2 linked regions of the Saccharomyces cerevisiae S288C genome follow. The gene in region 1 interacts genetically with each later gene. Each region holds a gene or a part of one and is shown on either strand. Other genes may lie near its edges.

The links. Genes that interact genetically often act in the same process or in processes that back each other up.
Region 2: mutations in RCF1 (region 1) and RCF2 impair growth when combined (synthetic growth defect), as found in Saccharomyces cerevisiae (3 studies listed by BioGRID, with this or other methods).

The regions. Positions count from the first base shown.
Region 1 is NC_001145.3:212,861-217,414, forward strand, and holds RCF1 (respiratory supercomplex assembly factor RCF1), read left to right. Parts: upstream 1-3,574; coding exon 3,575-4,054; downstream 4,055-4,554. Other genes in the region: recombinase RAD52, read right to left, coding at 1-1,070; NDC1 (Ndc1p), read left to right, coding at 1,329-3,296; USA1 (Usa1p), read left to right, coding at 4,502-4,554. UniProt on the Saccharomyces cerevisiae protein: Assembly factor that plays a role in the assembly of the respiratory chain supercomplexes (SCs) composed of ubiquinol-cytochrome c oxidoreductase (cytochrome b-c1 complex, complex III, CIII) and cytochrome c oxidase (complex IV, CIV).
Region 2 is NC_001146.8:661,641-665,444, forward strand, and holds RCF2 (Rcf2p), read left to right. Parts: upstream 1-2,629; coding exon 2,630-3,304; downstream 3,305-3,804. Other genes in the region: protein transporter TIM23, read left to right, coding at 1,273-1,941; ARE2 (sterol acyltransferase), read left to right, coding at 3,699-3,804. UniProt on the Saccharomyces cerevisiae protein: Assembly factor that plays a role in the assembly of the respiratory chain supercomplexes (SCs) composed of ubiquinol-cytochrome c oxidoreductase (cytochrome b-c1 complex, complex III, CIII) and cytochrome c oxidase (complex IV, CIV).

The DNA.
Region 1 (4,554 bases):
TGCTTGGACGTAGTCTGATCAACGGTGTGCCTAATGGATTGTGCCTGGTATTTGGGATCAAAAATGCTCTCTTCACCAATATAACGTTCATTTTGTACGGAAGTTGCAGCCTTAGCTGTAACAAAGGTGATTTGTTCTGCCTCTGGGTTTGAGCTAGCAGTTGGGCTTTGCTTAGCTACAACGGGATCCTTCTCTGTCGTTAAAACATTACTGTTTGTGTTGCCCATATTTATCAAGTCGTCGTCTTGAAAATCATCGCTAAACATAAGAGAATCATCGAGAAGGTCATCTTGATCCTGTTTGGAAGCATCGAGAGATTTGAGATCAGTATCTTTATTACTGCTGTTTTTACTGTTAGCCTCAGCAGGTGCGGCCATCATTGGGGTACCTCGACTTACTGTATTTTCTATTTTCACCAGGTTCTTCGTCGAGTCGGGATTGGTATTTGTAACTTTAGTCAATTGCCTTCTTTTATTCGGGTATTGTTGTTGTTCTTGATTTTCATGCAAAGTATTCGTTCTTGAGCTTTCGCTGATTTCATCCGTTGGCCTAAACAAATTGTTTTCGTCAAAATCTGGCGGATCGAACTTCACCTTATCGATCTTTGCCAGAAAATCTTTATCGTAAAGACAATTTCCTAGAGCATTACCAAACCCTCTCAAAGATCTTTTCAAGGCATCCGTAACGGCAGATTTCTTGGCCCTTTCGAAAGCGGCAGGTTTCCGTCTTTCGTTCTCCACGGTACCATACCCAATATCTTCCCTATAAGTCCCGCTAGTCAACGTAACACGAACAATTGCAGTACACCCTATGCTAAACTTTCCCTGTCGCTCATCCAAAAAATCGATAACTACACTTTTTACCTCCGTAGACCAGCCATTATATCCAAAGATTTGATTAGCAAGATTAATTACTCTCCAACCTTCGATGTATGCAATCCTGCTTGTTCCAAACCCAACTCTCTTGGAGATATACTCAGGTCCTAATTTCTTGTCCAATTTGGTCTGTATGTCCTCGGAATGGTTACCGAAAACGGGCTTCTTCTCATCCATATCCATAATTTCATTCATCAACAACACACCAAAGCCACCAGAACCTTCAGCAGTTCTTGGCAACCTCCTTGTTTGCATTTGTTGATTCTCAGTGGCAAAATAGCTTAAAAACGCCATTCGATACCGGTCGCGTAACCCGCCCGCCGCTATATTTTTCGTCTTTTCTTAACAGACTAAAGAATATAATAACATCGAGAATCACTAACGGGAAGAGCAGACTCTTTGGCGATGAGTAAGTGTGATTGAGAAGACGAAAGGACATTACAGGGCAAGCAGATGATACAGACGCCAAGGGAGTTGTTGAATCCACGGTACACGTACCATACCATCTTTAGCGACGTGTGCAAGACCCGATTCAACCATTTAGTTACGAGGTTGTTTTTCATATGTTCTATTATCCAAACTGTGGTGATTTCACTGCTGGCGTTGCCACACTCACCGTTATGGGAACTGGCATTGGCATTTATTCCCAATATTTTAGCTCTTAACCTAGTTTCCCTTTTGATCATTGTGACAAGAAAAAATTACATGCATGTAAAGAATTTTGGGTTCGCTAATTCACTTACTTTCATTCTAGGCCAATTGTTATCAGTAAAGTTTCTTGTATACCAGGGAGTCTATAGCATGGGCAGCATCCTTTTATCATTCGTACTGGGTGTGGTTTTCGGACGTGGCGGATCTGGATGGAAGCCATACTATAAGCTGTTTATTTGGCTAGTCGTTCCCACGATTTACAACCTACAACATCATGTCACTGACGCTGACAAATTGTCGTTCAACTGCGAAAACTTTTTCCAGGCCCCACAAGACTACGTATTAGAGCGTGTCAAGAGGATTATGGAGAAGTCAGTCATTCTAAGTGTAATCAGCATGTTCGTATTACCAATCTTTACCACAGTATTTTTTTCCAGGCAAAAATCGGGATTATTTGATTCATTTACGAATGGCGTGCTAGCTGTCACAAATTTACTAATAATCTCCTGCATTATCTTCATCACTTTCGAATTCATAAATATAGCATTTGACGCACATATGTCCATAGGTTGTCTGCACAAGGGCAAGCTAATTTCGAATTTGTCGTCGACGCCGATGGAAACCCTGCTTAGTGGGCTTTCTGCAGACAAGCCATTTACTAGGTTGACTGCCTACCAGGAACTAGCGTATAGGGCCACTTCACTGGATCCATCATTGCGAGCACCAATATATCACTCCAAGTTCAGAAGCAGTAGTGGTAATACTTGGTCATTAATCCTCAATGAATGCTTGAAGACCATTCAGATAAACAATGAAAAGGTTGTGCAGTACCTAAGATCAGTACAAGATCTTGGGGGCTCTGCAACTGCTAGACATAAAAAAAAAGTAGAAAATCTAGATTATATGTATGAGAACGGGAAACTAACAAGCGCCAACGAAAGACTCTTTGGGAACCGACCCTCTATGATGGCGCCATTACGGGATAACGGCTTATTAGATGAATCACCAAACAGGCTGAGGGTAAGAACTGACGATAGTGTATTGCTTAACCGCGGAAACAAGAAAAGGCATAGGTCCTCGTATTACGACAACGATTTAGATGAAACGACACAAACTTTTAACGGCTCTATTTTCACCCACGAAACAACATTTATGACCGCTATGCGTCTGATGTTAAAAAAACTGAAAAATTCTATAATGTCGTTTATTTTCCCTTCCTACGCAGAAAGACAATCATCTGATGAAAGCGACAATTACAGACTATTACCAAATGGCTCCAACAAAGCCCAAATCTCGATAATTGACATATGGTCCATTTCCAAGAAAAGGCAAGCTGAGAAGCTGGTTCCATTGCCCATATGCCACGCAAATAGTGTGGTAGCACTGACAGGACTGCTGATCCGATCAAAGACAGAAGATCCAAAAGGCGGTATCATTGCATCCGTTGGGGATATTCTTAAGACTTTGGAGAGGTCCATCTGTGCACTGGGTGAATTTGCCGATTGGGATCCGGAATCGATGGCATACACTGCCTTCCAAACACAAAGGACAGCCCAAGATAGAGTACAACAAGACAGTGAAGACGAAGATAGCATGAAAGACACTACTGACATGATCAGTGTTCTTTATCAGCTGTCCACCAGTGCTTTTATGGAGATTGTACTTGAATACAATGTTGCTCTGAACGACGTATATTTGGATGCAGACGTGGCCAAGTTGGCGAACTGGTTTCTAGAAGTGTACGCCTCAGGCAACCCTAATGCTACGTAATACAATTCAACCGAGGAGCACCCCTCCTCCCATTTCATGTAAGATAAATACAATAATAAAAATTGGAATACCGCACAAATGCTTTAGTAGAGGCCTAATATGAGCAAAAAGAGCAAAAAGCTACCTTTATCGTTTCCGGGTAGCGAATCAAGGAGGGCCCTTTTATGCTTCAAGAATAATAGTAAAGAAAAGTATAGAGAAGAGGAAGCAATGCTTCCTATCGGAATTAATTCAATTCCTGGTACTAGAAGCGATAACATCACAGTTATACGTTCAAGATGTCACGCATGCCATCTAGTTTCGATGTTACGGAGAGGGATTTGGATGATATGACCTTTGGCGAAAGGATTATATACCATTGTAAGAAACAGCCATTGGTACCCATTGGGTGCTTGCTGACTACAGGAGCTGTCATTCTGGCTGCTCAAAATGTTCGTCTTGGTAATAAATGGAAAGCTCAGTACTACTTCCGTTGGCGTGTGGGTCTACAAGCGGCCACACTAGTCGCACTAGTCGCAGGTTCATTTATCTATGGGACTTCTGGTAAGGAACTGAAGGCGAAGGAGGAACAATTGAAGGAGAAAGCCAAGATGAGAGAAAAGTTATGGATCCAAGAGCTGGAGAGAAGGGAGGAAGAAACGGAGGCAAGGAGAAAAAGAGCCGAATTGGCAAGAATGAAGACCCTTGAGAACGAAGAGGAAATCAAGAACTTAGAAAAGGAACTAAGCGACCTGGAAAATAAGCTTGGAAAGAAGTAATTTGGCTCTTCGATTTGCTGTAAATAAATTATGATGAGAGACAAAAGAATGAACAGCTAATTTCGACTGTAATGAAGAAATGTAATAAAAAAATTCATGATGCTATGTCCAGTATTCAAGAAAAATAATTACAAAATAACAGCGTACATATGAATATTCTTTGTTTTTATCTTGTATAACTATCACTTAAAACATATTTATATCGATAGGTAAATGCTATATCAATCGCTCTATTTACTTGATTTTTAATATGTGGGTTTTTTTTTGCTTGACACATACGTAACGGTAATTGCCAGCTAACGATCGGTACAATTTTCAGAAAAATTGAAACAGAGAGAATCCACCAAATATTCAATTGCAAGGTGACGTACTTCAGATAAACACTTTATTGTACCATCTTAAGCGGCTATATAAAGTGTCATATACACCCTTCACCAAATACGCAACATGTCTGAATATCTAGCTCAGACGCCCTGCAAATTTACTATATGGTCAAGCGA
Region 2 (3,804 bases), on another chromosome or scaffold:
AATAAGGATGAAGCGGGAGGGAAGGGCAGAGGGAAAAGTTCGTATAGTAGAATGAATAAACTTTTATAAACACATGCACCGATCACTCACAGAGGATAAAAAAATGGCACAACAAATATATATATATAGATGCAAATGGCGATTGCAAATTAGGGAATTGGCTTTGTTGTTTTTTATCTTCAGGTAAACTGTACGAAAGGGATAAAAAGAGTAGAATAAGGAAAGGAAAATTGAAGAGAGCAGAACAATTGTAGAACCGATAACAATTGTGACAGTGATTGTGCTAGGCTATACTGTGCCAGAATACGACTGGGAGTGCTGTTCTTCTTATATATCTTGGCGCTGATTGAGCGTATAGCCTAGTTCACCAAGCAGTAGAGAGAGTGGCAATGAGCGGTTGAATTTCGACTGCGACTTGTTGGCACAACGCGCGCGCGGCCGGGCCATGTGAAGATTTTAACGGGCGCAACGATTCGGTGGGCAGTGGAAATTGTTGGGCGTTGTTCAACAAGATGAAGCATTCCCCTTTGGATAACGTCAACGCATATCGGGCCAACCTACAGGCAATGAGCGAAAGCGACTGAAGCCGAGAGATGTGCCCGGAGTTTGTTGTTCTTGTTCTTGTTCTTGTTCTTGTTCTTCTTGACGGATGATACTAGTCGCAGTCGTGGTGACTCTGGAGGGCGTAACGGCCGTGATGCGGCCTGAGCTCACTGTGACGTCGATGCATGCGCGGGTTCGTTGCGTTCAGGCCTGACGGGCGATTCCCCACCAAGTATAAGTGTCATGATATACGCGGCACCTGAGCAGCACATTAGGTCCCAATTCAACCCAACATATATAATGGTTCTGTATGGGTATTTTAAGTGTGCAAACAAAATGTGAGTTACCCGGCTGTTTGCTAGTCGCTGCGTACGAACTGGCTTGCTAAAGCTGGGTAAAAATAATTTAATCGCAAAAGGAAGAAAAGGAAATCGACGATTCATTGAAAAAAAGAGAAAATACTGAAAAAAAAAAGACACCGACAAAAAAAAGAGAGAAAGGAACCTTTACGTAGAGCAAAAGGGAAACATTTGTTGCGTTTAATTAATAGAAATAATAGGTTATTGCATTCGCCCTCCATTGCAGAAAAAAAAAAAAAAAAGACCATTTTCCTCTTCTACTCTCTTTGCCTGTACATACTACACGTTATAGCGTTAACAAAAGCAGATAGAAAAAAAAAAAATAACCAAGATAATATAGGTATACTTGTTTAACAGATCACACACAATCATGTCGTGGCTTTTTGGAGATAAGACACCTACCGATGATGCGAATGCTGCCGTGGGCGGCCAAGATACAACCAAGCCTAAGGAACTATCGTTGAAGCAGAGTTTAGGTTTCGAGCCAAACATCAATAACATAATATCAGGTCCTGGTGGAATGCATGTCGACACCGCTAGGCTGCATCCTTTGGCTGGTCTAGACAAGGGTGTGGAGTATTTAGATCTGGAAGAAGAACAACTATCCTCGTTAGAAGGCTCACAGGGTCTGATCCCTTCCCGTGGGTGGACCGATGACCTATGTTACGGTACCGGTGCCGTCTACCTGCTGGGACTTGGTATCGGAGGGTTTTCTGGTATGATGCAGGGTCTGCAGAATATTCCGCCCAATAGTCCCGGAAAATTGCAATTGAACACCGTCCTGAATCACATTACTAAGAGAGGTCCCTTCTTAGGTAATAATGCGGGGATTCTCGCGTTGAGCTACAATATCATCAATTCTACAATAGATGCACTAAGAGGCAAACATGACACCGCGGGCTCCATTGGCGCTGGGGCCCTCACGGGCGCTTTGTTCAAGTCTTCAAAAGGTTTGAAACCCATGGGTTATTCCTCGGCAATGGTGGCCGCTGCGTGCGCCGTCTGGTGTAGTGTCAAGAAAAGACTACTTGAAAAATGAGCAACACAAGAACCTACTCTCTCTCTCTCTTTCTCTCTCTCTCTCCCTCTTCGCTTTTCCCCCATGCACTGATGGCGCTTGTATATAGCATTTGAAAAATAATAGTACGTAACGCAGAAAACAAACCAATGAAAGTAGAAACCCGGAGAAAAGATCTAAAAAAACAAAAAAAAAAGATGGAAAGAGCGCATGTATGTGTAGATATGTACATATATACAACTACTTGTATGTTATTTGCCTTTTGTACTGTTAAGCTATTGTTTTCGATGGCCAATTAAAGTAAAACAAACCGCTCACTCTCGGGTATTTCCCGAAACTGTCAGAGCCGTCCCGGCCCACCGATTCGCCCGGCAAGACCTGCTTGGAAGCAGCACAAAGCCCTGCGGCCTCTGTACACCTCACGCTAAATAGCTGCTAACGATCAACACCTGACCGAGATAACAGCAGCAAAGAACCCGCAAAAAACTGCGCCGTCTAGGCCTCAACCCTTGCTTCCTACAACCAAACAATGGTAAAATATACAAAAAAAAGAAAAGAATGCTCTTTCTTATTTCCCTTTTAACCTAACCATCTTTTGTTTTTTGTCGTTTAACCTGGAAAGAATGTTCTATTATATAAACACTCTTTACTACGTCTTTAGCTTGAAAAAACTCTTGACAAGTGCACCGATACTCACCAACATCGCACAATGAAGATTTTAACCCAAGACGAAATTGAAGCTCATCGCTCACATACGCTAAAAGGTGGTATTGAAGGTGCCCTTGCCGGATTTGCAATCTCTGCTATAATTTTCAAAGTCCTACCAAGAAGGTACCCAAAATTCAAGCCTTCGACTCTAACATGGTCCATAAAAACCGCCCTTTGGATCACCCCTCCCACGGTCTTGACTGCTATATGTGCGGAGGAGGCCTCGAACAATTTCGACGCTACAATGTACGGATCCGGTTCCTCCTCGGAAGACGCACTAGATGAGCACAGAAGATGGAAGAGTTTGAGTACAAAGGACAAGTTTGTCGAAGGTCTATCTAATAACAAGTATAAGATCATCACCGGTGCCTGGGCCGCTTCGCTGTATGGGTCGTGGGTAATCGTGAACAAAGACCCCATCATGACCAAAGCTCAGAAGATCGTGCAGGCAAGAATGTACGCTCAATTCATTACCGTCGGGCTGCTGCTGGCCTCCGTTGGTTTGAGCATGTACGAGAATAAGTTACATCCTAACAAACAAAAGGTCAACGAAATGCGCCGCTGGGAAAACGCACTGAGGGTCGCCGAAGAGGAAGAGAGACTCGAGAAAGAGGGAAGAAGGACCGGCTACGTTTCTAACGAAGAAAGAATAAACTCCAAGATCTTCAAGTCGTAAACCTCGTCGGTTTATCTGCCTCAACTTTATTTCCGCTCCTCGTCTTTTATAAAATTCCTTTCATCAATACATCTATATATTCGAATATATAGATAAACCAATACAAAAACATACTGAAATTTTTTGAAAACAACTAAAACTATTCATTGCAGTTACACGTGAATGCTAAACTTTATATCGCTCTTGTCGGTCCCGCGGAGTTAACATTTAACGGCTTCTCGCGCAATAACCGGAAAAATTCCAACAGTTTCTTTGTAATATTATTAAGCCTTCTTTTTTCCCGGAATCTATAAGAGGGGACGAAAATTAGCCGCTATTAATTCTGGTATTGCCACCTAGACAAGAAGTAAACAGACACATTACGTTAGCAAAAGCAACAATAACAAACACAACCATGGACAAGAAGAAGGATCTACTGGAGAACGAACAATTTCTCCGCATCCAAAAGCTCAACGCTGCCGATGCGGGCAAAAGACAATCTATAACAGTGGACGACGAGG